Linked DNA regions of Canis lupus familiaris. The protein of the gene in region 2 purifies or fractionates together with the protein of the main gene of each other region. This does not show direct contact. Links are inferred from orthologs where the notes say so. Each region holds a gene or a part of one and is shown on either strand. Other genes may lie near its edges. The genes, in order: RPS3 and ASCC3.

Region 1 (16,104 bases), on a different chromosome or scaffold from region 2:
AAACCACACTGACAAAACCAGCAATAGGTGATGGTCTAGATACAGCATAAATATCAAAGGTTCTTGAAGGAGGGGGCAGAGATACATTTGTCGCTGTGCTCAATGGAACTCATTCCCTATATAGCCACGTAGGATTTTCATGCCACCTTGGTCCCACACTACTTTCACCCAAAGAAACTACGAGGACCCCATTTCTTATAACTATCAATAGAAAGCACTTCAAATATGACAAACTGTAGACAATGTAAATGTTCTTTACATTCTTCTAAAGTATAATGGCTAAAAGGACTGAACAAAGAAGTGTGGATTCTAATAAATGTACTTCTCAGGCTTTTCAGTGGCACAAGCAAATTCCCTTTACACTTCAGACATGCTCAGGATAAAATGTAGAATTATACAAAACTACCTATAGTGTAGAAATGACCGAAAATACAATAGGCACCGTATTTATTTTCTATGTGCAATAAGATTTCTTTATGCATTAGAAAAGAAAAACATCTTAAATATATCCCTCTTCCAAACCTATAACCTCAAACTGTGGGTGAATTAATCAAGGTGCTATCCAACTAGCAATCAGCCTTCACTTTACACAGATTTATAGGATATTACTCTGGTTAGCTGTTTGGGTCTTCCTGTTCTGGCTCTTGCCTCACAACAACAGCTGAAACCAAGGATTTCAGGGAAAATGAGGCCGGCAGCCAACCAAGTTAATGTTCCCTTCAGGCAATAGAATTCTCAGACCAAATAGTGGACAGTCTATTTGTGCCACGTGTTTTACTCAAATATTTTATTAAAGGTCTTCACAGAGTAAAATCCAGCCTCCAGATCCAACTGCCAAGGAGACCCTGAAACCAAATAGAGCACAACAGTAAGAACAGAATCTTCACCTGAATATTGGGTTGTTTCATTTCTCATTTAGGGTTTGCATGAAGAATATATACACACAGAACACCTAGAAACAAACAAAAGGTGCTAGCCATAGAAGAGGATTGGTGATACCTTTTTAACTGCTGAAGGGGCTGCTGAACAACAGGTAACTACTAACAAGAGTGCCTTGATTTTAAGTAAATAAAAGGAAAATTCTTGTTTCAAACACACTGGTAAACATAGGAATGTCTTAGGAGACTAAAGGCAAATCTCTCTTCCTACAGAATCCCTGGTTAAATGGGCCTCTGGCTCCAACCGTGGTAAGTATAATCCAATGTTTACATAGCAAGTGCTTACAACAGTACGGGATATACAATTATTAGGGAGACAAAGGATAAGGGTCCTTCATGCCCACCCCAAGAAGCCCCTAGAGACACACCTATTTATGCTGTGGGTACTGGCTGCGGCATAGCAGGCGGCTCTGGCTTCCCACCCTTCTGTTCCGAGATGGGGGTGGTGGGCAGTATCTCATCCTTGGGTTCCACAATGCTCACATGATCTGGCAGGGGCTTCTTAGGGCCAATCTTACCACTAGGGTCCCAGGGAAGCATGATCTTGACTTTGATGCCCAGCACACCTGGAAGATGCCATAATTAGAATCTAGCTGTGGTTGTACCTGTCCCACAATAGGATAGAGCAGAGTAAAATAATAGTAGGTTACTCAAGCACCCATGGATCCAGTCCCTTCTCAGACAAATGCCTCTAATCAATCAATAAACAGGACACTTTTGCAAAAGGAACCCATGCACAGCACCACAGAACGTGGCACTGACAAGGACCAAGAGCAGGATGTGACCTTTCTGACTCGTCATCGTGTCATCACCGAAGGGTACATAGGTGGCTGAGACAAAAGCAAACCAACTCTTGGATCTCAGCAATTTACTTCTTAGAGGTCAATGCAGCTCGTGAATAAACTCACATGGAGTACAAACATGCTCCACTACTCCCAAAACATGTTCCCTGACATGGAGGTATACATGAAAAAAAAACCACATCTATCTGCTAAAAGCCCTCTGCCTCAAGCACTCCCAGCTGCTCACCCTGTCTGAGCAGCACATGGCGCACAGCGGTGTCAACGTAGTAGTTAACAGGGTCTCCACTGTGAATCATCAAGCCATCCACAAACTTCATGGATTTAGCCCTCTGTCCTCGGAGTTTCCCAGACACCACGACCTCACAGCCTTTGGCCCCACTCTCCATGATGAACCGCAGCACACCATAGCAGGCCCTTTGGGAGAACAAGAAACATCCACCTGTTATAACCAAAGACAAGACTATTCAAGCCTACCCTATCCCCATCCCACCTCCCATTCTCTTTTTTTAAGATTTTATTTATTTATTCACAGGAGACACAGAGAAAGAGAGAGAAAAAGAGAGAGAGAGGCAGAGACACAGGCAGAGGGAGAAGCAGGCTCCATGCAGGAAGCCCAATGTGGGACTCGATCCTGGGACCCCAGGATCACACCCTAGCTAAAGGCAGATGCTCAACTGCTGAGCCACCCAGGCATCCTAACCACCCTGTCATTCTTAAAAAAATAAAAACAAAGCCATAGACTTACTAGTCTACAATATCTTCAGTGTTCCTTTAATGGAGAATAAATTTGACCAGAGCCTGGCAATTCTCCATTCCTATCACACCTAATCTTAAGGTAATTCTTTAAGGAATATATATTCCAGTTCCTTCTAACCCAAATGCTTCACAGCATTGGGTGTACATTACAATCACCTCAAGATTAAACTAGAACAACACCTGTGAAGTCCAAGCCTCACACCAGGTCAATTAAACTGGCAATTACAGACTCAAGAATTTACTCTTTTTTTTTTTTTTTTCATTTGGGATAGAGGACACATGCAAATGGAGGGAGGGGAGATCTTAAGCAGCCTCCACACTCAATACAGATTGAGAGCTGACCATGGTTCAATCTAACAACTCTGAGATCACATCCTGAGCCAAAACCAAGAGTTGGACGCTTAACCAACTCAGCCACCCAGGCACCCCTAAACTGGCAATTAAATGGTGGGGGTGGTATAACTCAAGCATAGGTCATCCAGTCCATCTCTGCAAATGCAGCATTTCACAATGAGTTGGTAAACAATCAGTAAGAACCCAGTCACTGAGCGGCCCCTTTATGGTTTACTAAATATTCCTCAATCTCCAGAATTCACATTTATTAGGAATCCAAGCTACTAATGTAGGCTCCTAGCTGCCCTGAACAGAGTGCTGGAAAAGATACTTCTAGAACTATAAAAATGACAATAAGCCGTAAAATATGCCCCCCACCAACTCATTTATTACTATACACCCTAGGACATACTAATTAGGAGAGCTAGCTGCCACCTTCAACAGGGAAAGTAAAGCAGGACCCACCACTCTAGGTTCAAGCCCCTTCGCATCATCTCATTTAATCACCACTAAAAGGAGAGGTGGATATAATGACCCCCCATTTACAAACAGGAGATCCAAGGGTCAAATGTTCAGTAAGTGGCTCAGGTCTCAGAACTTCCAAGTCAGTGGGTATAAAAAGGGTTGCTGATCCACACTCCTTTTCACTTCAGCAGGTGGAGACTGAGAATTTTTCTAACAATTCCTCCAAGGATATCAGTGATCATAGCCCAAGGATTAAGCTTTTGAGGACCACAGTTCTAAGTAGTGTAGCTGGCATTCAAACCAGCCAGGCAGTCTTTCTTGTATGTCCCTACCTATAACACCTTTCCTGCCATCCATCTCCCCACCAGGTCAATGTTCCTAAAGCACAGCTCTTAATTTCTTCTCCTGCTGAGAAAACCTCCCAGGGCTCTGCAGGAAGTACCACCTAAATTTCATACACCCAGGAAAAGCATTCCAATTACAACAATGAAAGTACACAAAGAGCTCCTACTGAAACCTCATCAGAAGGCCCGGCTCCAGGGCCAATCTAGCTACCTCATACACTCTATAATCCACTCCTCACATCATACCTACATACTGCTCAGATTAGCTCTCTCCCATCAGGACTATGTCTTATGCCTTTATAATCTCCACACTTCATGGAGCTAACTTCAACGGGAACCCTGACCTCCTCTCCCTGGAGTTGTTTTTGTTCTATTACCTAAGCACCAAGAAGTGTACTCCCTTTATAGCACTGACCACTCTTTAAAACATAATCATTCAGGGATGCCTGGGTGGCTCAGTAGTTGAGTGTCTGCCTTTGGCTCAGGGTGTGATCCTGGTCCAGGGATTGAGTCCTGCATCAGGCTCCCTGTGAGGAGCCTGCTTCTCCCTCTATCTCCCTGCCTCTCTGTGTATAACTCATGAATAAATAAATAAAATCTTGAAAAAAAAAAGTCTCAGGACACTTACCTCCGCACAGCAAGGCCTCCTAGGAGTTTGTAACGCAGTGACTCTGCCTGGGCAATAGCACATAGACCTCTTGTGGCCACCTTTTCGGCATAGAGCTTTAAGAAGAAATCAAGGTACACCCTTAAACCTGTTAACTTTCCCCATTGTTTTCAATTAAAGAAAAAAAAAAAACTCATTCACCATACAAGCATGTGGTCACTGTGGCATCCCTCAAGTACTAAAACACTCCTACTACTCATAGGTAGCCTACGCTGTGACATAGTCTGAATCTTTCCTTATTGCCCTCTCATCCCTAGATACTTCTACAGCTACATCAAGTGATGGGATAGCCAATCCATCATACATATCATTACCATACTTAAGTTGAGAGTAAAAAAAAGTCCCTTAACCACCAGAAATGAGCAGAAAAGGCCTATAAAATAAAGCCTGCTACTTATTAAGACAACCAACAAAACACCAATTCATATGTAATACTTGGTGATAACTAAGGTCTTCATGACATTAAGGGTTTATAAAAGTAACCACCCTAAATAACCATTTCCAGGTCCACGGTAATCTCTGGCAAAAGGCAAAATCACTCACCTCTACACTGCCCTCAGGAAAACCAAACCTCTTCTGAACCACAGCAGTCAATTCCCGGATCCTCCGGCCCTTTTCACCAAGAACATTCTGTGTCCTGAGAAAACGAAAATACACAATAGCTCTCACAAAACTGCAAACATGGCTTTAAATTTTACATATATGTGGTAATGAAGTCTCACCCGTCTAACATAGAAAATACAAATTTTGGATGACAAGAGCTAGAATCAGATTTAAAAGGCAGTTACGAAAATACACATTTGTGGGGTGCCACGTTGGCTCAGTTGGTAAGTGTCTGCCTTTGGCTCAGGTCACTCAGGTCAAGATCCCAGGGCCCTGGGATCAAGCCCGGCAAAGGGCTCCCTGCTCCTCCCTCAGCCCCTCAACACCCCCTCCCATCCTCCGCTTTGCACTCTCAGTCAAATGAATAAAATCTTTTTTTTTTTTTTTCAAATGAATAAAAATCTTAAAAACAAAAACAAACCACTTACGTTTGCTAATAAGGCCAATTCACTGGTTCTCCCTGGAAGTTTACAGAATACACCAACCTAGCATATACAACAAGTAACAGGTGCTAACCAGGAAAATGAGATCTCACCTGGTGGCCAGGATAATGATTTCTGTCCTGGTTGGTGTAACTCGGACCTCAACCCCAGAGTAGCCATCTTCAGCGAGCTCCCGAGTGAGAAACTCATTCAGTTCAGCTTTGAAGATGCCATCAGCGACAAACTAACCAAAAGGGAAAATTCACAATTAGAACGTGGGATGGCAGGGTCATTGTCCTTCTGCCAATGCAACACCTCATACAAACATCCCATCATCACTCTTACTACCCTTGTTCCAACACAGAATTTAACAACCCTTCTCAGACAAATGCCTCTAGATCGTCCTTTGGAAGTTACTTTAACCCAAGGACCCTTAAAACTGCCACAGAACGCAGCAAGGAGTAGGGGCCGCCTGGCAAAGATAACACCTCCAGTCAGACTCGTCATCTTCTCTTCATTGAAGGGTTTTAAAGACTTCTTTAGGAGTAGCACATGCCAAACAAACAGCTGCTCTAAAATGGCACATTCACGGGATGCCCAGGTAGCTCAGCAGTTAAGCGCCTGCCTCCGGTCCAGGGCGGCGCAGGGCGTGATCCTGGAGTCCCGAGATCCAGTCCCACATCGGGCTCCCTGCATGGAGTCTGCTTCTCCCTCTGCCTGGGTCTGTGTCTCCCATGAATAAATAAGTAAAATCTTAAGATAAATAAAATAAAATGGCACATTCACAACTCCTTCTGTCTGCAGAGCAGAGATGCTACCTTTGTAACCCATGAAAATACGCTGCCTTCAGGGACCATCAGAAGACTCCCAGCCATGTTATCTTGCCTACAGTACATGTCTCACAAAGCTGAACTCTAATTCGAAAAAGTGTGTGGATTTGCACGACGCTGTGTACACACACAAAATGACAAGTTAGTTGCCTCTTTCTAAAGCAAGCGGACTTTACAGTTTCCGCCTGCGGAAAAGCGAAAAGTTAAAGCTCGATCCAGTGCTCTGTCCGGTTCTCCTCCCTCCCGGTTACTTTCTCCGCGGTAGAGACGGGGCAAGATACAGCAGCCTCTCCAACCGAGGTCTCGGGGGTCAGAGGGCCGCGCCCCGACACGAAGAAGGCGTGCACACGCCACCTCCCCCCCCCAAAGTCCTAGTGAGAGACATTAGGGGGAACGGCCCAACCTCTCAAAATACGCTTACTAAAGCTACCTGTTAACCAAGTAATGCTCCCAAGCGCTTTGTCTCGGGCGGGAGGGGCGCCCGGTGCTCACGTCTGGTCTTCGCCCAGAAGCGGCAGACGTCTCTCATCACTCCCTTCCGCCGCCAAACCGCGCTCGCCTGGCTCGGGCCTCGCATTCAATCCACCGCCATCCGCGGTCCGCGGGAATGCCACGCGGCCCAGGCCGCTTCCCGAAGCAGGGCTCGAAGCTGAGGGTCTCGCGACGGCATCTCGACAAGCCTCGACCCGCGCGGCACCACAGATCCCCGAACCTAGACCCCAGCGTCTTACCTTCCTCTTCTTGGAAATTTGCACCGCCATCTTGCCGCCGCGCGCCCCGGAAAGAAAAGGAAGTGGCTCGTGGGCGGAAGTAGGTATAAAGGGCGCGAGCTACGACAAAGAACTGCGCGACGTCGACGCCTGTAGGCGCTCCTGGGAATTGTAGTTTTTAGGAAGGCATTAAAGAGGGGAAAAAAAGGAGGGGTAATGGAGACACGTATAGGCAGAAACAGGAAAGGGAGCAGATCAATCAGGGGAGCTTAGGTCCAATTCTTATTAGCTTAAGTGAGCAACGTGAGGCGCAGAGATGGAAATTACAGGTATAAACTCACACAGCAACAGCGTGCAATCCTAGTCCCTGCACTCTACACTCAATGAAATTCGTTTAGGTCCAGCCCTTCTGTGTCCGTTTTCTCTGTTCCAAATGCTGGCGATATAAATATCTAATATTTATTAAATATGCTAGGGACTGTTCTATGCCCTTTATATTATGAACTCATTTACCTCTGCCTCACTTTCATAAAGTCCATTAAAACTAGTAACGGAAGTCACCAAGTAGTGGTTCATGGGGTCACAATTATTTTTCCGTTAAAAAAAACTGTACCCCTTATATTTTGAAATTTTCAAGCACACAGGAAGGTTGAAAGAATTATGTATATGCGTCACTAAGGTGATCCAATTAACATTTTTGCCATATTTGCTTTATCCCATATCTATCCATCCCTCTATCCACCCAAGGGTGCATCTTTTGATCTTTTTCAAGGTAAATTACAGCCCTCTGCACACTTTACTCTGAAACACCTCAACAACAGTTTTATTGAGAAATAATTGGCATACATCACTGTATACGTTTGAGGCATGCAGCATGATGCTTTGATTTACAAATATTGTGAAATGATGACCAAAATAGGTTCAGCTAATACCCATCGTGTCATACAGATACAATAAAAAGAAAAGAAGAAAAGAAAAACAAGTTTTTCTGTGATGAACAGTTTTATTTTAAATTTGAATAGTTTTTTTTTCAAAGATTTATTTATTTATTCATGAGAGACACAGAGAGAGTGAGGCAGAGACACAGGCAGAGGGAGAAGCAGACTCCCCACAGGAAGCCTGATGCAGGACTGGATTCCAAGACCCCCAAGATCACAATCTGAGCCAAGGGCAGATGTTCAACCACTGACCTACCCAGGTGCCCCTTAAATTTGAATAGTTTGCCTACATTTAAAAATCAGGAAACTTCTCTATAAAACTCTTTTAAGCTTCTCTTAAAAATACAGAAAGATCCAGCAAAATACTAGACCTACATTTCCTCATGGCAGCCCTCTCCTTCCCTGTTTTATGGCGAAGGGCTTTCCAACATGCCACAATCCCTGGCATCTTCACTCATTCATTGTCTGGCTCTAGAAGCCATTTGAGCTTTTCCCCAGCAGCAGAAAGAATCTGATGCAAAGTTCTGTCCTATACTCATGGAATCACCAGAGTTCTCGGGGGAGCAGAGCAGAGGGACCAGGGAAGATGAAAAGAAGTTGATGGACCAAAGAGATAAGGAGGCTATGGAGCTATGTATCTTGGTGATGGACTGAGGTTGAGGAGGAATTGAGGATACCCCAGTTTCTGACTCCAGCGGTGGAAGCTTGGTGACAACCCTCACTGAGATGAGGAACCCATGATCAGGCTTTTTTTCTGTGTGTTGTCTCCCTGTGCTCTCTGCTCCTTTCCTTATCCAACTCCATGGTCTATTAATTCAATGGTGCCAGACTGATATAGTCTCCACCCTTGTGAGTCTGACCTCTGTGTGCCCCCACTCAGGGCATGGGCACTGTGGGAGCCAGAAGGGGAGCACCCCTTGCATGCATGCTGGGGTCAGCATATTTCCTTGTTCAGATATGTCCCTCATCCTCCTACAGTGTCTGTTCTAATCTTTGCCAAATCAGAACCTCTCCCTCACTCTCAGCAGTCAACTTGCTTCCTAACCCTTTGTCCCCAGGTAGATTATACCGGCAAGAACTGCCTCTCACCCATCTTAGAATTGTATGTGTCCTTGGCCCTCCCTCCCTACTCAGGAAAGAGACTTCTGGTTCACATTTAGTTTTCTTCTTTTGAGACCTTGCCCTAGCAGTCATGGCTTATCTTTCCTGTGATACTATTCTTTTACTGGCTCTTTCCTTCCCTGTGCTAAGTATGTCACTCTCTCTTAGTTGCTCCCATAACCATAACACCTTGTCTCATTGGGTTGGAATGGGCTGCTTATGTCCCACTAGACCATCAACACCAAACCTGTTTTGTTCATTACATCCAGAGCCTAGGGTATGGCCTGGCTTAAGCCCAGTGTCAGTAAAAGTTTGATGAGCAAATAAATCAATGCATGGATTCTGGCTTTAGATCATTTCCTAGTAGCATGGTTCATATGAATTTGCTGGCAAGTACCATATCTGAACCAAACCCTGGAGACCCAAAACTGAGCATCAGACCATGGTGAGTTCTTGGAGGTAAATCCACTGCTGAAGGCTTCATAGTTGCTCATTTACTGCCTTTCTCCAGTGACACTAAGAGGCTGCCTTCTAGGTATTGTGCTCTGGTTCCAGAAGGAAGCCCAAAAAGGAAGCCTTTGTCTTTATCATGATGCCTTACATTTTATCTAAGACCATTATAATAAGATATTAAATTACTCAAAATAACACCATAAAAATAATAGTGGTCACAATACACTGAACTCTAATCCAAGAAGGAACTGTGAGAGTGATTTAATCTCCCCCTGGGTCTCTGAAGTGTAGACAAAGCTCACTGTGTTGAGCCTACAGTGCCACAGAAGAATCCCCAGAACTGGAAAGAGGGAGCCTTGTGTATGAGAACACATACGGCCACATGCAGGCCATGCCAGGGCTCTGCGAGTGCCACACAAGTAGGTACTTTCTTGAAATTCCTGAAAACTGAAGGGGAAATTTGCCCTGGCTGAACAAATACACTGCACGATTTTGGAAGACAGTGTAGTCACTTGAAGACCAGAACAATGGAATCTCATAAAAAGCTTTAAACTTACCTGACTCCCACTAGAGGAAGTCCACATGAAAAAAAGAGAGAGATTTTTTTTTTAAGATTTTATTTATTTCTTCATGAGAGACACAGAGAGAGGCAGAGACACAGGCAGGAGAAGCAGGCTCTCTGCAAGGAGCCTGATGCAGAACTTGATCCTGGATCCTGGGATCACGCCCCGAGCCAAAGGCAGGTGCCCAACCACTGAGCCACTTAGGCATCCCAAAAAAGAGAATTTAAATACTGCAAGTGGAGGCACCTGGGTGGCTCAGTCAGTTGGGTGGCCAACTCTTGGTTTCAGCTCTGATCGTTAGATCGAGCCCCACCTCAGGCTCCAGGCTCACAGGAGTCCGCTTAGATTCTCTCTGTGTCCCTCCCTCCTCCCACACTTGCACGCTCCCTCTCTCAATGAAAAAATAAAATATTTAAAAAACAGTAATAAATAGTGCAAGCGAGGGAGGGAGTGCCTGCCTCCCTCCTCCATGAGCACCTGGCTCCCAATGAGGTAGACAGAGGGCACTTCCACTCCTGCGGATTGTCTAGGTCTCACTTCTCTGAGGGCCTCTCAGAGTGAACAGCTTGGTGGGCTGAGTGTTTGAAGAATTATGTTTTTTTTTCTACAAGATCCCTGAATAAGCTAACAACTTCATCTAGTGTTTGACCAAAGAACTGAAGATCTATGCCAGTCCTGGAGGAAAAACTGAATTCTTAGAAGGTGCATTGGTATCCACGAGGGCGCTTCTGGAGAGATTATTGTACTAGGGTAACATTGACCATATTCGGTTATCACTCACTTTATTTATTTTTTTAAATGTTTATTTATTTATGATAGAGAGAGAGAGAGAGGCAGAGACATAGGCAGAGGGAGAAGCAGGCTCCATGCACCGGGAGCCCAATGTGGGATTCGATCCCAGGTCTCCAGGATCGCACCCTGGGCCAAAGGCAGGCGCTAAACCGCTGCACCACCCAGGGCTCCCTATCACTCACTTTAGATTCTAAGGCCCCACAGTAGGACATGATGATGCTGTCACATTCTTGTTGATTTCATTAGAAATCATCAGTGACTCACTCTGGGCCTGGAATTGAATCTCTGGATATGAAGAGAAGAATACTGTAGAATAAATATAAAAAAAATATTTTTTTTACTGCATTTGTATCGATACTAAAATCTGATACCCCTCCTTACAATAAAAATCAGATCCAGTGTATGATGGAAGGGTGTGAGAAATCCTCGCACTGAGGGGAGGAGGGGATATGAATTGAGTTTCCTTGTGGAGGGTAGCTTGATGGCACCTACTATCACTCAAGACGTAGATTTCCCAGCAAATACACTCCGTTTTATCTACTCCAGAAAAACACTTACAGAAATGTACGTGGAGGTAAGGGCAAGAATACTCTTTCTGCAGTATTACCAGTAGTGAAAAAATAAATTAAAAACAGCCCAAAATCCCTTCAGTAAGGAAATGGCTCTGGAATATCATGTAGCCATTAAAGAGAATGAAGTGATTCAATATATGCACGCGAAAGGAGTACCAAGAGGGCACCTGGGTAGCTCAGTGGTTGAGCATTCGCCTTTAGCTCAGGTCGTAATCCCAGAGTCCTGAGATCAAGTCCCGCATCAGGCTCTCCGAAGGGAGTCTACTTCTCCCTCTGCCTCTTTCTATGTGTCTCTCATGAATAAATAAAAAAATATGAAAAAAATAAAGAAGGATCTATAGCCAAGTGCTAGATAGTTAAGCCTATTTCTGGGAATGGAACAGTATTGAAGAAGATTAAGGGACAATTTACTTTATTGCTTTCCTTATAATAAAAACATATCCATTACCTGTGAACTTAAAAACAAATAAAGAAAAAATTGCAAGAGCCACTTATGGTTTAGATTTCTGATCACTTGGGAAACAGTGTGAATGTCCCAGCCTCCAACACCCAATGCCACAATCCTTTCTTCTGAAAGTTTAAGGCAAAGAAAAAGTTTATTTTCTTAGATTATAGATCTGTACTTTCCCAATCAGTAGCCACTGGCCTCACGGGGCTACCAAGCACTTGAGATGTGGCTGGTCAGGGTGGAAAGTGCTAGAAATGTACAATATACACAAGATTTTAAAATATTTTTAAAAAGAACATCTCGTTAGTGTAGTTTTATATTGATTACATGTTGAGACAATAACATTTTAGATATATTGAGTTAAAATATGTTATTAAAATTAAGTTTAGGGACACCTGGATGGCTCAGGGGTTGAGCATCCGCCTTTGACTCAGGGCATGATCCTGGAGTCCTAGGATCGAGTCCCACACCGGGCTCCCTGCATGGAGCCTGCTTCTCCCTCTGCCTATGTCTCTGCCTCTCTCTCTCTCTGTGTCTCTCATGAATAAATACATAAAATCTTTTTTAAAAAATTAAGTTTACCTGTTTCTTTTGCTGTTCTTTCATGGAGCTGTGAGAAAAACTGGAATTACATATGTGGCTCCCAGCTGTGGCTCTTACAGTTCTGCTGGGCAAAGCTGTAGTAGTCCTTTTGACTGCACAGATCAATGGTTCCTGGCTTCTTTTTGTTTTCTTGGGAGTGGGCACAGTGATTGGCAGAGCCTGGGTGATTAGTAACTGTTCACAGACTTAATGATAGCTCACGTGGAGTGTTACACACCAATCTTTTTCCTCTGTTTGCCTAGGGCCTTGGGAAACTCAGAGATAAATTGCATGCTCGGTTGAGATCCTAGGACCCACTCTGTCTCAGATCCACTCTAGACAGGGGGAGGAGACCCATCAGGGGGAAATTCAGGATTGTTCCTGCAGTCCTAGAGCCAGGAAAGTCAGACCATCACAACCCCTCTTCCACATTCACACACCCTTTGTCTCCTTATAGATTGAGGCCCATGTGGTCCAGTGAATGAATAGAGGTGAACTCAGTGAGACCAATGGTTTAAGTTCAGGTTTTTCTGAGTAAACTGCCTAGGTGACCACTAGATCCACATGGCAGGCTGGGGTATTTTGTTTATTTATTAAAGATTTTATTTATTTATTCATGAGAGACACAAAGAGAGGCAGAGACACAGGCAGAGGGAGAAGCAGGCTCCCTCCAGGGAGCCTGATGTGGGACTCGATCCTGAAACCCTGGGATTACGCCCTGAGCCAAAGGCAGGTGCTCAACCACTGAGCCACCCAGGTGCCCGGGATATTGATTTAAATCCCTGCCTTTGAGATCAGCCAAAGAACTTTTCAGATTGAATGACACTTTGAAGAAATTCCAGGTTTTTTCATTCAGCAAAACTTTCCCAAGTGTCTTTTCAATGTGGCATAATGTTTAAGGTCACAGACTTAAGTCAGACAGCCTGGGTACAAGCCCCAGGTCTGGTTGTTTACTAGCTACATGACCTAAGCAAGTTATCTCTGCATAAATTTCCTCATCTGTAAAATGGATGAAAATAATAGTAAACCCACCTCACGGGACAATTGTGAGATTAAATGAATTAATATAGGGCGACCCCAGTGGCTCAGCGGTTTAGCGGCACCTGCAGCCCAGGGCCTGATCTGGAGTCCCCGGATAGAGTCTCACGTCGGGCTACCTGCATGGAGCCTGCTTCTCCCTCTGCCTGTGTCTCTGCTTCTCTCTCTCTCTAGTAAATAAATAAAATCTTAAAAAAAAGAATTAATATAGGCAAAATGCTTAGCACATAGTAAAGCACCTAGAACATAGTAAGTGCTCAATTAGCATTAGCTGTTACATGGATCCACAGCTTATGCCAGGTCCTGCAGAAACTTATGAATCTGATTGAGCCCCAGTTCAGATCTGGGGACGCAGTGGGGGATACAGATAAATAAGTGTGATAAACATCACAAGTGCCATGGTGGAGACAATAGAGTACTAAGAGGGCAGAGTATTTGAAAAGACATCACAGAGATCCAGTCCTTGAGCTGAGGTTCACAAGACACTCAGGTGTTTGCTAGACCGGTGGACACCTCAGGCAGAATGAATGGGCTGAACCCTTTGGGAGCAAAAGATGGACCTTACCTATTATGAAAATAGTCTTCTGATTCAAGAAATAAAATACATTAATAAAAAAACTTTGAAAAGAATAAAGAAGATAAAAGCAACAGTGCTGTAAGCAGTTTAAACATATTGGGACACATTTCCCCAGATCTCTCCTTAGTCAGTGGACTATATTGTGATGGATAGGTGTGCATTTGCAACATCCCACAAATGGTGTCACCACAATGCACAGGTGCCAGGAAGGATGCCAGTGCCATGCCAGGAGGGTGCAAGGGAATGGAAGCTGGATCAGAGGTGGGGCACTAAGGAAATAATGAATCCGGTTCAATCTGTTTAATATCCCAATTCTGCCCTTTTACAAGCTTTGTGATTTTAGGCAGGTCACTTAATCTTCCTGAAGCTCAGATTCTTCATCTGGAAAGAGAAGAAATGATCATTACTCTCATAGGATTTCTGTGATCCAGTTAAATGGTAGCTTTGAAACACTCGGTATAGTTCCTAGACCATGGAAAGGCTTCATTAAGTGGGGCAGACTATCATTGTTTTTAGCACAGATAAGCAACTTGGCATTTAGGTTTGCCTTAAACTTCAGTGTTCTTGGCTAAGGTAAGTTACCATCTTACCAAATACTTCCCAACACTAAAAGGTGGGCTCACATTGCTGTTCTTTGCAGAAGACCAGAACACACTAGGACTTTTCTTTTTTAAAAAGACTATTTATTTATTTATTTATTTATTTATTTATTTATTTGAGAGAGAGAGCAAGCTGGGGTGGTGAGGGGCAGAGGGAAAGAGTTTCAAGCAGACTCCCCTGCTGGGCACAGAGCCAGATGTAGGGCTCAACCCAGGACCCTGAGATCATGACCTGAGCTGAAACCAGGAGTCAGATGCTCAACCAACTGAGCCATCTGGGCACCCCCACACTGGTTCTTCTCTTTCTCATGCATGTCAGGCACAATTTGAATACTGGTAAAGGACCATACTACTATAATGTATATGGCAGATAAAACTCCCTTCAAGGGAAGATGTGGAAATAATTGGTCCAAAGATAAGACTGCTGAAGCAGAAAGATGTGGCCATGGGGCAGAAAAAAGCCAGGGAAGCCTCACCCCATCATCAGGCTTCCTCCAAGGGCATGGGATCAACATCTGGGGGGGAGAGACGGGGCCCAAGGACAGCTTCAACAGGGACCAACCAGTTAGGGCGGCACAAGCAGGTAAGAAAGACTGGCTATGTCGAATATTAGTTGACCATAAAGTTGAGGGTCCACTTCTGGATTCTCTATTCTGTTCCATTGATCTATGTGTCTGTTTTTTGTGCCAGTACCACACTGTCTTGATGACCACAGCTTTGTGGTATAACCTGAAATCTGGCATTGTGATGCTATGGTTTTCTTTTTTAATATTCCCCTGGCTATTCAGGATCTTTTTTGATTCTACACAACTCTTAAGATGATTTGTTCCAACTCTCTGAAGAAAGTCCATGGTATTTTGATAGGGATTGCATTAAATGTGTAAATTCCCCTGGGTAGCATTGACATTTTCGCAATATTAATTCTTCCAATCCATGAGCATGGAATACTTTTCCATCTCTTTGTGTCTTCCTCAATTTCTTTCAGAAGTGTTCTGTAGTTTTTAGGGTATAGATCCTTTACCTCTTTGGTTAGGTTTATTCCTAGGTATCTTATGCCTTTCGGTGCAATTATAAATGGGATTGACTCCTTAATTTCTCTTTCTTCAGTCTCATTGTTAGTGTATAGAAATGCCACTGATTTCTGGGCATTGATTTTGTATCCTGCCACACTGCCGAATTGCTGTATGAGTTCTAGCAATCTTGGGGTGGAGGCTTTTGGGTTTTCTATGTACAGTATCATGTCATCAGTGAAGAGGGAGAGTTTGACTTCTTCTTTGCCAGTTTGAATCCCTTTTATTTCTTTTTGTTGCCTGATTGCTGAGGCTAGGACGTCTAATACTATGTTGAATAGTAGTGGTGAAAGTGGACATCTCTGTCTTGTTCCTGATCTTAAGGGAAAGGCTCTCACTGTTTCCCCATTGAGAATGATATTTGCTGTGGGCTTTTCGTAGATGGCTTTGAAGATGCTGAGGAATGTTCCCTCTATCCCTACACTCTGAAGAATTTTGATCAGGAATGGATGCTGTATTTCGTCAAATGCTTTCTCTGCATCTATTGAGAGGATCATATG
Region 2 (16,311 bases):
ATTTGAACACTGAGCATCTGGGTACTTGTTTAATGTTCCCACACATATTATGCATCAATGCCATTAAAGGGAATAGATAATAATAGGTGACCAAATTTTTGAAATAGGTACCAGTCTTTTTAAAAGGTTAAAGGGAAAAAAAATGAATACAAAGTAAAAGATTAGATAAGCCCATCATAGCAGCACACCTTAAGAGACTATTTGTAAAGACTTGAAAAACACCAGGTCCCCAGGGTCAAAAAGTAAACTTCAAGATGGTAATCTAACCAAGGAAGACTTTAACCTAATCAGTTTTCAAAATATCTGAAAAAGAACCAAAGTGTTCTTTATCCCACTTTTTATTCAGCACCAATAAAAAATATACAGCATTTGGTGAAAACTTTTTATTCATTCATTAATTCGTTCAAGAAAAATGTACTCAATAGGTATATGTGATAAAACTGCTCAAGTGAGGGACGCCTGGGTGGCTCAGCGGTGGAGCATCTGCCTTTGGCTCAGGGTATGATCCTGGAGTCCCTGCTTCTCCCTCTGCCTGTGTGTCTCTGCCTCTCTCTATGTCTCTCATGAATATATAAATAAAATATTTAAAAAATTGCTGAAGTGAAATTGTTCCCTCTCTCCTTATTACTAATATTTTCTTTTCTACTGATCATCTCCAAAGCCTAAAAATACAGTATAGGAGCTCCCATACTTAAAAACCTCCACTGACTCCATAGACCTCTTAATTAACACCCTACTTTTCAGCTTATCTACAAAGAAATTCCATTCCAATCAGACTTTTAGCTCCACTGTTTCACCACAAGAGCTATTAGTATCACAAATAATCCCCACATTGCCAAATTCAATGTTAATTCTCAGTTCTTGTTTAATTCCGGTTTTTGACCTAGCCCTTGTAGAGACAGTTGCCTCACTTTGCATCTAGAACACCAATATCTCTTGTTTTTTTTTTTTTTTATCCAACAATACTGGCACTTTTTTCTCCCATTGGTTCCTCCTTATCCTCCTATCCTTTAAGCATTGCTGTGTCCCAAGAACAGAGATCAAGACCTGCTCTCCAGCTACACTTGTTCCTTAGGTGATCTCATTCAGTCTCAAGTCTTTATGTATTATTTATATGCTAATTCCTAATTCTTAACTTACACATCCTGTACATCACTCCTATACTCCAGATTTGTATACACATTAGCTCTTCCACATCTCCACTTGTATGTCTAATAGGTCAACTCAAGCTTAGAAATATCAAAATTGCTCTCCCACTGCAAATCTCCTCCCGATGGTCTACCTCACTTAAGTGATCACAACTCCATTCTGCCTGTTGGCTCAGGCCAAAAAAACTTGGGAGTTATGCTTTACTCATCAGCAAACTCTCCCAACTCTACCTTCAAAATATTTTCAGAATCTGACCTCTTCTCACTATCACCCTTTCTTCCCTGGTGATTATTACAATCCCCTATCTAGTCTCCCAATTTTCATCCTTACTTTCTAACAATCTAGTTTCCACACATAAACAAGAATGATTCTTTCCCCAAAGAGGTAACATTTGTGGCTCCTTCTCTGCTCAAAATCCTTCAACGGTTTCCCATATCTCTGAGTAAACTTCAAAAGACTTAAAAGAACTTAACTTTCTCTTACATTTTGATGTGATCTCCTGTAACTCTCCTCCTGTTATATTGGGACATCCATATTGGCCTTCTTTCCACTGATGTGGATACAGATCTCTGCACGAACACTTTTCTCCCACATGCCACATAGGTAGCTCTTTCATTTCCTCAGGTCTCTGCTCAAATGTCTCTTTACCAGAGAAGCCTTCTCTGATCACCCTATCTAAAATGGCACCCCCTTTCTTGGTCCTTCTCTTCCATCCAATCACTTTACTTCATGGCATTTATCACATGACACACGTTTCCTGTGTTTTCATCAGCTTCATCAAACAGAATATGAGCCCCATGAAGGTGAGAATTTTGCTTTGTTCATTAAAGTATCCACATTATCTAAAATACTGTTTGGGGCATAGCAGGTCCTCAGTAAGTACCTGTGTAATGGCCAGATGGATGGACTGACAGGAAGGATGGCCAAAGTGGCCATAAAAAAGGGCCAGTATTTACAGATCTGAATACACACACATATGTGTGCACACAAAAACATATATATATAAAATAAATTTTTTTACATCATCTTCAAGACCTCAAAAATATTTTCCCACATAAGTTAATTTAATCATTAATTTATTTTAGTCTTGAATAAGAGATATTTTACAAACTAGTAAATTTTCTCAAATACAAAAATAAAAACCTAATGTGATTTATTCAACTCATGATGTCACTCTTCTCAAAGAACTCAATAACTTATACATGCAGAAATTTAATTTTAAAATTAATATTTAAGCACTTTCTAACTATCAGGCTAATAGAAAACAAAAAGCAATGATAAAAGCTGACAGTAGCTAGAAAGCCTAGGCTAGGAGTGGGCTCAGAAGGAAATCCATAACAGAAGAATGTAGGAACAGCTTTCAGTCACCTGGTATTTCTTAACTAACATTTTTATTATATTCAATAAATACCAAGTGAATAGCTCTGAAAAACTAGAGCTGTATCAATCATTTTACAAACTCCCTAACAGCTCTAATTTCTTCCCAAGCTAATAGACAAAATCAGTAACTTAGGACACCAACTTTTTCGCTTTTTAAATCAACGACAAGGCCTCTACTTTGCTTACTTCAGACTGACCAGACAGCATTCACGGGTATTAGTATTTTTCCTTGCTTCAAGTCAATTCACTGAACAGTCTCACAAAGCCAGCAATTAATCTGTGATTCTTTTCAAAAGTGATCTTTAAGTTATTTCTGTTTCCCCATTCGCAGAGTACAGACAGTGCTAATATTTTGCAAAGTTTCCTTCACTCCTTAAAGAATGCTCAGAAAGACCATTTAGCAAGCCCCGTTGGTGTTGAAAGTACTGCCTAAATCAGGTCTAATTTAGAAAATGCATGCACACTGGGAAAAGATGCACTGAAATTATTTTTTTTTTTGCAAACTGAGTATCATCTTCATATTAAGTTCTTATAAATCATTTATGTAGTGTTTTAGAATTAAGTTTTTTAAATCAAGATGAAGGTATACTTATCTCTGCTGATGTTTAAGAGCAGATTTTAACATTTTTATAGTGTTTCATCTGAGTGGCCTGTTGGGCATTTTACTGACTTTCAAGAAAGTACATAAAGAAATATTTCTAAAAAGACAAATAGAACCCTCCAACAACAGGTGTGTCTGTGTGGTTTTGTCTTTGGACACATAAGAATTAGAGGCAAAGAAACATGGATTTGGAGATGTCTGGGGCCAGCCTTCTCACTGTAGGCTCAAGATCAACATTCAAAATAGGAAAAAAAAAAAAAAAAAAGAGGAAAAGAAAAAAAAGGAAAATTGTCTCATTAATAAGAATTTCCTCTCTTGGAATGGAATATGTTTTCCTTTATCAAAATCACATGCAATGTGTCTTAGCGACACACAATTAAATAACTTGCTAGTCACTGACTTAATTTCAAAATGACCTAGCAAGTCTCTAAAAATGCTAGAAAACTGGGGCAACTGAGTGGCACAGTCAGTAAAGATCTGACTCTTGGTTTTGGCTCAGGTCAGGATCTCAGAGTTGTGAGATGGAGGCCCGCCCACTTTGGGCTCTGTGATAAGCGAAGAGTGGGCTTGGGATTCTCTCTCTCTCTCTCTCGCTTTCCCTCCTTCCTACACACGCACAGGCATGCACACTCTCTAAAATAAACAAATCTTTAAAAAAATAAATAAAAATAAAAATGCTGGGAAACATTAGCAACTGCCTGACTACCCATAATTCTGAGACTAAATCCCTCCCTTCTTTTGAAGTTCTGCTTTAATAGAACAGAATTAAAAATTAAGAGGCTTTTGAATTATATGGTTAGAGTAAAAGTTCTCCAATATGAATTGATTGCATTGGGATCACTGGCATTTCTAGCATTTCTAGACATTCTAGACGTTTCTAGACACCATGCCCAGAAATTTTGACTCAGTACACCTGAAAACCTTTGGTTTAGTTATTAAGTAAGTAGGTATGAACTTTCTCTCCTTCAAATATAAGTATTTCAGGACGCCTAGGTGGCTCAGCGGTTTAGCGTCTGCCTTTGACTCAGGGCGTGATCCTGGAGGCCAAGGATGGAGTCCCACATGGGGCTCCCTGCATGGAGCCTGCTTCTCCCTCTGCCTGTGTCCCTGCCTCTCTGTGTCTCTCATGAATAAATAAATAAAATCTTAAAAATATATATAAGTATTTCTCAACAATGATCTTATTAAAACATATCCTGACAATGCTTACTGCTACCTGTAAATTTATTACATGTTAATAGCTTTTTAAATTATGTACTTCTTCCAAATTCCACCCTTATTTTTCATTCAGTTCAAGCCTTTGATAATGAACTTCCTACAAATTCTCTTTGAAGAGTGAATCACAAAAGTAAAAGAAGATAAACCCAAAATTCCCAAATCAGAAAGATAAAATGAGACTCTATCTTAATTTACTCCCCAAGAGTTAGTCTGTTCAAATAACAATGAAAAGCAAGATAACATAGTTGAAAGTAAAATAAAAATAAGGAGAACTGAGTTCAGATGTCCCATTTTTGTTGATGATAAGAAGTCAGCTAACTTCTCTGGATATCAACTTTCTGATCCATAAAATAAAGCAGGATTTCAAAATGATTTTCTACACCCCCTTCAGGTTGAATGATCTGATTAAATCAGAATATTCAAAGATGGATTAAATTGCATTAAATCTGAGTAACAGAGTTTCAGAAATAAGACAATTTGTAAAGCAGATTATCATAGCAAACAGCAGAAAAATGAAACTGACCAAACAGCGAACATTCTCAAACATACTTGCTCATCTACATGCAAAAATGGAGGACTTAAATGAGATGGTGTATGCTAAATGAATGAACATTTATATAGGGTTGTCTACTATAAGCAAGGCATTATACTAGGCAAAAAGATGTAATAAATAAGTATCTACTTTAAAAAAAACTATGTATGAGATAGACACACAATGCCTACCTTCTTCTTACAATTACTAAATACATAAGATACCTTATTCTTTACGCTTTGGTAATTATGCATTTTTTCTTTCCATAAATGTTTGTGTTTGTTAAAATTTCAACTTCAGACAGATATCTTCTCAAAGTTGAAAACTGCCACATTATATCAAGATATACTTTGCACTGAAAGAGCTTATGCTAACTACCTCCCCAGAGAGGTACTATGAGGCAAAAAGTTTACTTGTCAATGAGTACCATACATATTTCTGATGATATGCTTTGTGCATATAATTATTGTGAATTACAAGTTATTAACACATAGAGATCCAATGAGACCAATGTAAAAACTGGAAAAATAGTCTTTTTCAGGTAGAAACTGACTTCTGATTGTGAATTTTTTAGTTAAGGGTACTTTGCAAAAAGAAATATAATTATTCCTAGGGCTCCTGGGTGGCTCAGTCAGTTAAGTGGCCAACTCTTGATTTCGCTCAGGTCATGACCCCAGGGTCATGAGATCCAGTCACATGCACTGGCCTTCCCACTCGGTGGGGGGTGGGCTTGAGACTCTCTCTTCCTCTGCCTCTGCCACCACTCACACAAACTCCCTCTCTCCTTCTGTCAAAAAAATAAATCTTAAAAAAAAATATTTTTAACTGGCAAAACACTGGCATCGTATACTTTCTTTTTTTTTTTTTTCCCAAAGATTTTATTTATTTATTCATGAGAGACTTAGAGACAGAGAGAGAGAGAGGCAAAGTCAAAGGCAGAGGCAGAAGCAGGCCTCAAGCAGGGAGCCCGACGCCGGACTCGGCCCGGGTCTCCAGGATCAGGCCCAGGGCTGAAGGCGGCGCTAAACCGCTGAGCCACCCGGGCTGCCCCGTATATTTTCTTTTTGATCAAAGGCAAAATCAAGTCATGCTGTTCAAGTAAAATAATCTACTCCTCTTTATTATTTTTTTTAAAGATTTTCATTTATTTATTCATGAGAGGCACAGAGAGAGAGAATGAGAGAGAGAGGCAGAGACACAGGAGGAGGGAGAAGCAGGCTCCATGCAGGAAGCCCGACGCGGGACTTGATCCCGGGATCCTGGGATCACGCCCTGGGCCGCAGGCAGGCGCTCAACCGCTGAGCCACCCGGGCTGCCCAATCTATTCCTCTTTAGAGGCCACTTACGTATAAACATTGACAATAACTTATCCTCGTGAAAAGTCACACTTTGGTTCACTAGAAATCCACGACAGGAAGAGGAACCCTTCAGTCAAGGTTCTCTGGAAAGAGGATATGAGACTACAGAAAGTTCCACAAGCACAGACACTGTCTCTCTCTTGATTTCCTAGGCCTAGCACAGTGCCCTGCACATAGGAAGACATGAATGAATGAAATGATTTAAAAAAAAAAAAAAATCGTTCAGCAGGGATCAAGAAGGCTAAGCCATGAAAAATTAATTCATTCAATTAAGATTATTTAGCCTACACTTAACTGGCATCTCTAATGAGCATTTTTTCTCATGCGAGACTATTATTATAGCCATCATTAAAAGATGTGCGAACAGAAGCGAAGTCCGGCGTAGAATCAAAAGCTGAATTCTTCTCACAACACTTTGAAAATGGGAGAGAGAGGGGAAAAAAAAAAAAAAAAAAGTATCTCTCTCCAAGAAACAAGAAATCTAGTGATAGAAATACCGGCTATTCAATCTAAGCTTACTTAGGGAAAGAACATACGATCCCTAGCTTGAGTGTACGTGTGACACCACTCATACCAAACTTTCAGCTAACACTGAAATCATGCTTCTTTTCCACCAGAGGTGAGCAAAATACACGAACACACTGCATTCAACAAATAAGGTAACTTATGATAAAAGGAAAAAAAAAAAAAAAAGTCTATTTAACACAGCTGCCCCCCCGTAACCCACCACACCTCCCTCACGTGTGCAACACATTTACTTACTTCGAAATGACATTCCAGACTCAGCGTTTACCAAACTCACCCACAATTCACCGTGATCAACGCCCTAACCGGATTATTTACTTTTCGGTGTGGGGGTTAAAAAAAAAAAAAAAATACAAAGCAGGTCTTTTCCCCAAAATCTACGTGAAGAAAACGAGTAAGTAAGTTGCCACGGCTTTGTAACTGAAGAAAGCAACCCTCATGAAAGCAAATTGCCCACGCACGGGGAAGAGCAATCTCCCCATCTGGTCACGTCGGGGCCTAACTCCCAGGCTGATGTCTCGGATCGCCACCCCGACCTACAGATCCCAAGGGTGGGGACCAGACTGTCCGGAGACCACCCACAGGACGTCGGGCCCCAAGAGGGGTGACAGCCCGTGGCTCGCCCCCCGAAACCCGAGGGGGCCGTCGGGCCGCGTGGCCGCGTGGCCGCGTCGCCACCCCCGGAGCCCCCAGCCGCCCGCCGCCCGCCGCCCGCCACCTGCCCCGGGCCGCGCCGCCCCTCCTCCCCCTCCACATCCACCTCCTCACCTCTTGGCCCCGGCTCGCGCGCTTCCCATCACTCGGTCAGCTCCTACCTTGGCGTCCCCCCCTCTCTTTCGTTTTCATTTCTCCTTTCCACGCCGGGTGGGGAGCGAGCGGAGGGCAGAGCTGAAGACGCCAGTGGGCAGCCGCCCCGCTACGCCTTCCTCTGCACCCCACCCGAGCCCGCCAGGGTCGCCCGCAGCCACAGAGCGCAGCGCCCCGACCACCGTCCGGACCCACACGGCCGGCGAGGGGCGGGGCAGGCGCGGGCCTACACGTCACCCGCCCGCCGCCGCGCCAACGTCAGCACGTCGGCTCCCTCGGCCCCGCCCCCCGCGCGCGCCGCCGCCCCGCCCCCCCGCCCGTAGAGCCGCCGAGAGGAACCGGCGGGCGCGCGCGCTCCTGGGACTCGGCCGTCGGGTACCGGGTCGCGCTGCCGCCTCTAGTCACCGCCCGGAGAACCCTCCCTGCTGGTACTCGAGTTGACTGCATCTTATTCTCCGACCTTCTCCCTGAGGTGAAGACGGCTAATGATTCCCGTGAAAGGTGAAGGAGAGAAGCGAAGTAGGGAGCGTGAGGGACCGGGTCACCGTGATCTTCGTCGCCGGCCGGAGCGCCTGGCTCCTGGACCCTTGATGCAGTTAGTTCCCTGGTCCCCCGTCCGCTTGCCCTGAGCTCTCTCAGTTCTCAGCTCAGTTCTCTTCAGGTTTTCTCTGTCAGCAGGTGCTTGGGTCGGACGTCCCCACCGAAAACAAAATACCTGAAGATTCTCCGGCTCATTTGAAAAGACAGGTAGACGATATTTAAAAAAAAAAAATAATAATAACTGACCTCAAGAACTCCCTTGTGAACGTGTATACAAGAGTTCTAGACGAAACATCGGGCATGCAAAGATGGCATGACCTGACTGACGGTCGTGGCTCCCTCCGCTTCCATCCCCTTCCTCATAAGGAATGTGTCTGGATGCCTAGTGGAACTGTGTTTCATAGAAAGGCAGTCAGTGGTGATCCAGTTATGCTTTTCATTGGCCAAACCATAACTGGAGTTCGGTGTTTTAGATAGAGCACTTTATTTTTTTTATTAATATTTTTTAAGGTTTTACTTCTTTATTCATGAGAGACACAGAGAGAGAAGCAGAGACCTAAGTCAGAGGGAGAAGCAGGCTCCACGTGGGAAGCTTCATGTGGGACTTGATCCCAGGACCCTGGATCACACCCTGGGCCAAAGGTAGACGCTCAACCGCTGAGCCACCCAGGTGCCCTGAGATTGAGCACTTTATTACAAACTCAGAGAGGCTGGCATTATTTCAGAGGGGAGCAGATGATGAAGAGGACCCCAAAAGGTAATGCATAAAAAAAGTACTGATTGAACTTGGGAGGATTTTCACGGAAGAGAGAGAGCTACTGGAACATCTCCAAATAAAGACTAGTCCTGTGACTTTAGATTTGTTTCATGTGATCGCAAGAATGCAGTTTTGAGAGAAACAGATTTCAGATCCTGAAAAGAAAATATTCTTCCAGCACTAGTCAGAGAAGTTGTCTGCCTCAGGATGTATGGATGCCTCATTCACTGGATTTGACCTTATTTAATTTTTTAAGGTTTTATTTATTTATGAGAAACACAGAGAGAGGAGGGCGGCAGAGACACAGTCCGAGGGAGAAGCAGGCTCCATGCAGGGAGTCTGACGTGGGACTCGATCCAGGGTCTCCAGGATCAGGCACTAGACTGAAGGCGGCGCTAAACCGCTGAGCCCCCCTGGGCTGCCCGTGAAAGCTTAGTTGGTAGGCACTAGTTGCAGGGGAACCATACATCAAAAGAATTAATTCATGGTTTTATTAGTTATTCCCAACTTTGAGGTTGGATCAGTCCTAGACTTTAAAAAAAATTTACAGGTTAACTTGTGAGGCAAGACAAACGTATTAAAAGATAAATAATGAGAGGAAGCCACCTGATAATGAGAGCTACTAACAATAAGTGCTAGTAATTCACATAACAGATTATCACAGATCATCACAGTTCCAGAGACTTGAGGAAGAAGGAAACTGCAAATGAGCCCTGCCTAGCCGCATTTGGTAACTAACCAAATGCGGTTCTTTACCCTTGAAATATGGTAGATTCAAATGAAGACATGCAGTAAGTGCAAATTATACACCAGATTTTGAAACTTTGTGCCAAAAAAGTAAAATATCTTAATTAGTATATTGAGTACATATTGAAGTTTTAACATTTGTGTCAATATATTAAAAGTAATTTTACCTGTTTATTTTTTTAATGTGGCTACTTGAAAGTTTTAAATTACATAGGTGGCTTGCATCTTATTTCTATTGGACAGTCCTGACCTAGAGGGAAATACACTTCACTGAACTCTAAGAACTATCTTTGTCCTCTTTGTAATCCCTGGAGGGTTTTCGGAAATATTAGTGGGAAGAGTCTGATGACAGAATTCCTAATGAAGAGAAAGAAAACTGTCCAGAAAGTGCCATGAGCAGAGACAAGGAAACTAGATTGCAGATGCACTCCATTATAATGAATAACCTGTTTGTCTACAATAGAAGGTGCTTATTGGAAGGTAGTGATGATAAAGTTAAAATTAGGAACTAATATGTAAGAAGACTCGATTTTTAATTTAAGAAGTTTAGTACTGTAGGCAATCAGGATCTGACCATTAGAAACTGGGATTGTATGAATCTCTTGGCAATATTGACTAGCATGGGTTGAAATTAATGGGTGGTTGGGCAACCAACTAAAACTCCTACTTAAAAATGTATTATTAATAGAGGATTGTTTTAAATTGATGATAGTAGTCTTGCCCCTTATCCAGGGTTTCCCTTTCTGCTGTTTCAGTTACATGAGGTCAACCACAATCTGGAAGCGGATGATCCTTCTTCTGATAAATCATCAAGGGGTCAATAGTGGCCTAATGCTATGTCACAATGCCTGTGTCATTCACTTCACTTCATCTCATCACTAGGCATTTTATCATCTCACATCAAAAGAAGGGTGAGTACACTAGAATAAGATATTTAGAGAAAGAGACCACATTCACATAACTTTTATTATATTTTATTGTAATTATTCTATTTTGTTATTAGTCATTGTTGTTAATCTCTTACTGTGCCTAATTTATAAACTAAACTTTGTCATAACTATGCATATGTAAGAAAAAAACAGGGTATACAGGGTTTGGTACTAGCATTGGTTTCAGGCATCCACTGGGGCAGTCTTGGGTGTATCCCCCACAAACAAAGGGGGATTATTGTACAGCACATCTCTAAAGTAGAATGCTGGGATCCCTGGGTGGCGCAGCGGTTTGGCGCCTGCCTTTGGCCCAGGGTGCGATCCTGGAGACCCGGGATCGAATCCCACATCAGGCTCCCAGTGCCTGGAGCCTGCTTCTCCCTCTGCCTATGTCTCTGCCTCTCTCTCTCTGTGTGTGACTATCATAAATAAATAAAAATTAAAAAAAAATAAAGTAGAATGCTTTATAGGTATTAAAAAAGTATGATATGAATCTATGTTGCTTGATACAGAAATATATCAAAGAGTACAACTGAGTAAATAGTTTGCAAAATAATACATGCACAATATGAAATCCGTATATGTATAATTATATACGTGTGTGTATGTAACTAGATCATTTGACTAATAGTGCCTTAATTTTTTCAAAATTGTCTCAAAAACAGAAAATCTCAAGGTGAAAGTGCTTCCAACATGTTTTCATTGGCTCAACAAAGTCTTCCATGTCTTTGTTTCTTTTCATCTCTATGTTCTGTCATTCTTAGCATTCTAGCCTTTCATTCTCAGCCCTATCACCTCATGTGTTGTCAGAATGGGTTGATACGCTCCTGACTCATTTGCAGCCCAGTAGTCTCTTAGTATATCTCAGTATATGTGTCCACTAGGTCTGCAACAGCTCACCAGTGTCCCACAGCCTCGGCTTCTAGACCTTTTCGGTTTTACCTATTCTCAGTCCGTTGTTCCCCCCTTCATTTTGCATACTCCAGCTTACAACATTGGGTCTTAAAATTCCATCTTTGCTGGACCCCACTGCAGTGTCTTACCTGTAGCTGACACTTAACCTCTGAGGGATGCTTAGTTCTAAAATGAGCTTCCCTAGTCCTTTTAAGAAATGATGATGATATGGAGAAAAAAATTATGATGGCTACTGTGGTTGCCTACCCAATCACCATTTTCCTCCTCTTTCTTAATTAATAAAATGAATTTGTTAGACTACCAAACAGCTAAAGAAATGTGAGCTCTTCCCTTTACCCTGGAAGTAATTCTATTTCCCTTTGAATAAGAATTTTGTAGAGGTGATCATGTGGCCAAGGAATAGTCAGCCATGGGGAATTCTGCAATAGGTTTTATCCAAGTGGCAAAATATATGCTTATAATATCTATAGAGTTATTCTTGACTTACTGTTCAAGATCCGTGGACTAGGCATGTAATTTGCCTAATGTTCTTTCCTATACACTGCTGAAATGAAAATTTAGAATTAGAAACATTGAGGAATAAAGAAAAGAGTAAAGATAGTATGTGTTATATGGAGAGAAGTATGATCAACAGAGAAAAGAAAAATGAAACTTCAGTAATTTCCTGAGAAACAAAGCTAATAGTAGAGAAAGAGACCATATTCTCTGGAATAACACCCAAAACCATTGCCAAAAAATACAATGAAGTAGTTATAAAAGAGTTGGTTGAGGCATGGCAGAGAGTAGAAGTGAGAATAAGGGCTGAAAATAGGGATAACATTCGAAATATGTTACACTTGACTCAGGCACCACACATATTTCCTTCTTCATTTGTAGACAAAGACACCTGCCACCAAACATAGAAACCAAAAATGACCCCAAAAGTCTTCTTGAAATGAATTATGTAAATAGTAGAGAGGAAATGAAAGCTTTTATGTTGACAACAAAGAGAAATACCATTCTCATTCTGGTACTCAGGGCCAGCATCCAGAGAGCTAGTTGCTTGCCTACTCATCTTAAAGTAAAACCTGATATTTAGCATTCCTGGTCCTACAGTACCAAACCTAGCTACTTGTTCACAATTCCTATATAGGAGAGAAAAGTGGAAGACATCCTACTTATTGAAAGCAAAAGAAAACCATTATCAATGACCAGTTTATATTTTTTTATATTTTTAATTTTAAAATTTAACATATTTTAAGATTATAAACATAAATATATATTTTGTCAAATATATTTATGGACATATATGTATTTATATATTATATATTTTATATATTATAGGTAATGTATAAATAAAAATATTTTTATATAAAATGTTATATATAGTATAATACATGTTTACATAAACGTATTTGCATGTGTGTATGTGTATGTATAAACATACAATAAAAAATCAACAGGAAAATCGCCATTATGAAAGAGAAAGACTAAGAAAAACAGAAAAAAGAAACTAAAGGAAATAGATATAACTTATAAAATGAAAAGGAACATTTTTAAAAATCACTCCAATTTATATATTTCAGTATTCAGAATATTATATCTATAAGCTACACACAAGGTACCCTGAAAAAGAAGCAAGCATAGGATGAAAAAGAGTTCTGACACACAAAAAACAGTTACTTAAATGAAAAATTCAAGGGAAAATACTGGCGATAAAATTGAAGAAGTCTAGAACAAGCATACAAAGACATGAACAGAAAATATGAGAAAAGATAAGAGTCATGGATAGCCAATCCAATAGACTAACATTCAACTGCTAGAAAAGAAAGAGATTTAGAAAAAGAAAAGCGAGAAAAAAATGTTTTAATTATAAGAGGTCTTTTGGAATGTAGAAGGAAACAAGTTTTCAGATTGAGTAGACTACTGGGTACCAGAAAATAGGTGAAAAAACATCCATACTTGGAGATATTATCATGTAAAACCAAGAATAAAAACTAGGAATAATAATAGTCAATAGTATTAATGATAATAAAACCCCAAGTTTCTAAGCACAAAAAAATATATTATCAATGAAAGAATAAAAATCAGACAAATTGGGGCACCTGAGTGGCTGAGTCAGTTAAGTATCTGACTCTTGATTTCAGCTCAGGTTCATGATCTCAGGGTTGTGTGATTGAGCCCCACATTGGGCTCCACTCTGGGTCAGGAGCCTGCCTGAGATTCTCTCTCTTCTTCTCCCTATAGTCCTCCCTGCAGCCCTGCACTCTGGCTCTTTCCATCTCTTAAGAAAAAAAAAAAAAAAAATCAGACCTATCAACAGCACTGGATACTAGAAGACAATGATAGAATATTTTCAATATTTTAATGGTAGATATCTTTCAGTCTAAAAGTCTATACTCATTCAATTTAGCAATTAACTAAAGAGCAATTAACTAAGAGCAAAATAAAGTTATTTTTAGATCATCAAGGATGTAGAACTGCAGAGCATTTTCCTCCCATGTGATCTTTACCTCAGCAAACTAAGGATAGAAACTCCAGCGAAAAATTCCAGCAAAATAAGGCTGAAAACAAAGAGGAAAAATGGAATTCTGGAAAAGGTGTACCAATCTTAGAAGCTAAAAAACATTTCCAGATAGGGCTGTGCAGCAGGTCTAGAGAGGAAGCAGTATAGATGGGAGGAGGAAGAGTTCAAGGAACAAGGTCATATGGGAGGAAATGTGAAATTCAAAAGAATAAATGGTAAGATAGGGAGTTTGTTTTTTTTTTAAGTGAAAGCTATAGTAAATCTAATGTAAGGATAAAATGTGGAGAGGAGTAGTCTTAAAGAAAATTAAGAGAAATAATACCATTAGGAAAAAGATCAAAACAATTCAGGTGCACTACCCTTGTGATTCAGAGGAGGAAAGGGAGCTAGCAAAGGAGAAAGAAAGGGTGGCCAAAGAGGAAAGAGATTAGTAAAGATATATAAAATCATTTTTTTAAAAAGTCATCAACAAGGTTAATTCCTGCTCAAAGTCAAGGAGAACGGAGACTAAATTAATGTCTTTGGAGATTTATATAATTGATGAATTGGAAGCAATTATAGTAACTTGATAGATAGAGATGGAAATCAGATGGCAAATTAAGAGAATAAATGAGAAGAGAGAAAATGGAGACAGGGATGAGAATCATTTTTGTCTAATAAATGCATGAAAAAAGGAGCAATCAAGGAGATTTTAGGGTCCAGAGAAAGACTTTTGTCTATGTGTGTTTTTAAGATAGAAAAACTAGCAAACTTACAAGATATTGATAGAGGGAAAGACCCTGTAAGAGATGAGTTAAGTATGGGATGTCTGGGTAGCTCAGCGGTTGAGCATCTGCCTTTGGTTCAGGGCATGATCCTGATCTGGGATCGAGTCCTGCATTGGGCTCCCTGCAAGGAGCTTGCTTCTCCTTTTGCCTGTACTGAGAGAGAGAGAGAGAGAGAGAGAGAGAGAGGCAGAGACACAGGCAGAGGGAGAAGCAGGCTCCATGCAGGGAGCCTGATGCAGAACTTGATCCCGGGACTCCAGGGTCACGCCCTGGGCTGAAGGCAGGTGCCAAACCGCTGAGCCACCCAGAGATCCCCTAGGTTTGCCTTTCTAATGCAAGTAAATCACCCACCCAAAGTTTGAGGCTGAAACATATTTATTACCTAAGGCACTGTGTGGGAATGGGAGAATCTTTCCTTGCCAACTGCTGCCATGCTGTGATTCCCCTAACAGATAAGTTAGGGAATTGTTTAGACTGTATGAGACCCAAAATGACAGTAGCAATAGAGTTTTCCTCTCACAAAACAAGATAGGTAAGTAATCTTTGGTTTACAAGCTCCTTGGGAGTATCCCCAATATAATCTGAAGCTGGTCCCTGTATTTGGAGAGCAGAAAGAGACAAAAGAAAGAGGAAGGCCACTCCAGGTTGGTAAGTGTCAGTTTTAATAACTAAAGGAGACTTACATACAAAGTTTATTTTAGGGTACAAGACACGTGGATCCCTACACCCACCTGTCAAATCTTAAAAAGTGTGTATAGAGGCCTTAACTAGGTTCAGTCAAGTATATATACTGCCTTATACTGTCTAACTAGTCTCAGCACCACATCATTATCTCAAACCTATGTCCTCAGGGCAGCTTCTGGGAGCAAGAAGGCAAGCAGAACTCATATTTCAAAGACAGGGGACAGGGAGGGGTGCCTTTGATTGCCTGGGGTTCAGCTCATGGGTCAACCAGCAGTCATGTCTTTTCAGTCACCTCCTCAACAGTAATCTTGGAACAGTGTGGTTGTATTTAGGATTTAGTCATCTAGAGACCGAGGTCCCTTCTTGTTATTCTATAATTTCTAGGGTATTGTTCTCCTCTAATAATATGAGATGACTTGCAACCAAGACTATATTCCAAGTAGCAGTCTAAAGAAGAGGAGTAGCAGAGAGACCTATTTTGGGAACCTGAACTGAAAGTACACCCATCCTTTAGTCACATGGCCGCACTTAGTTTCAAGGGCAGCTGGGAATTGTAGTTTTTATTTTAGGCAACTATATATTCAGTTAAAATTAAGGAGTTCTGTTACCATGAGAGATAAAGACATATTGAGAGACAAATGTTTCACCCACAATCCTTTTCCTTCTTAATTAAAGCAAATATATTGTATTAAACAGATAAGGATAGCCTCTCTTCACTTCTTATCAGAACTGAGAGCCATGGGAAACAGAATAGAATATCAAGACTTACTTTTATCTCTTTTATGCACATGAAAATTGAGCTAGTAAAAAATCGCAATGTATAATAATGGATATTAATTATTTTAAGGACTAAATTTTCCTGAAGTTTAAACTATTCTTAAGCATTTTTAATATGG

What was found.
Region 1: the proteins of ASCC3 (region 2) and RPS3 purify together in Homo sapiens (co-immunoprecipitation; 4 studies listed by BioGRID and IntAct, with this or other methods). This does not show direct contact. The link is inferred for Canis lupus familiaris from reciprocal best matches to the Homo sapiens genes ASCC3 and RPS3.

Annotation. Positions count from the first base shown.
Region 1 is NC_049242.1:23,295,569-23,311,672, forward strand, and holds RPS3 (40S ribosomal protein S3), read right to left. Parts: upstream 6,957-16,104; 5' UTR 6,923-6,956; coding exon 6,893-6,922; intron 5,855-6,892; exon of another isoform or gene 5,707-5,854; intron 5,576-5,706; coding exon 5,445-5,575; intron 4,944-5,444; coding exon 4,850-4,943; intron 4,363-4,849; coding exon 4,268-4,362; intron 2,156-4,267; coding exon 1,968-2,155; intron 1,756-1,967; exon of another isoform or gene 1,611-1,755; intron 1,505-1,610; coding exon 1,311-1,504; 3' UTR 1,307-1,310; intron 846-1,306; 3' UTR 431-845; downstream 1-430. UniProt on the Homo sapiens protein: Component of the small ribosomal subunit. The ribosome is a large ribonucleoprotein complex responsible for the synthesis of proteins in the cell. Has endonuclease activity and plays a role in repair of damaged DNA.
Region 2 is NC_049233.1:59,187,296-59,203,606, forward strand, and holds the start of ASCC3 (activating signal cointegrator 1 complex subunit 3), read right to left. Parts: upstream 7,806-16,311; 5' UTR 7,532-7,805; intron 7,407-7,531; exon of another isoform or gene 7,001-7,406; intron 3,377-7,000; exon of another isoform or gene 3,246-3,376; intron 1-3,245. UniProt on the Homo sapiens protein: ATPase involved both in DNA repair and rescue of stalled ribosomes. 3'-5' DNA helicase involved in repair of alkylated DNA: promotes DNA unwinding to generate single-stranded substrate needed for ALKBH3, enabling ALKBH3 to process alkylated N3-methylcytosine (3mC) within double-stranded regions.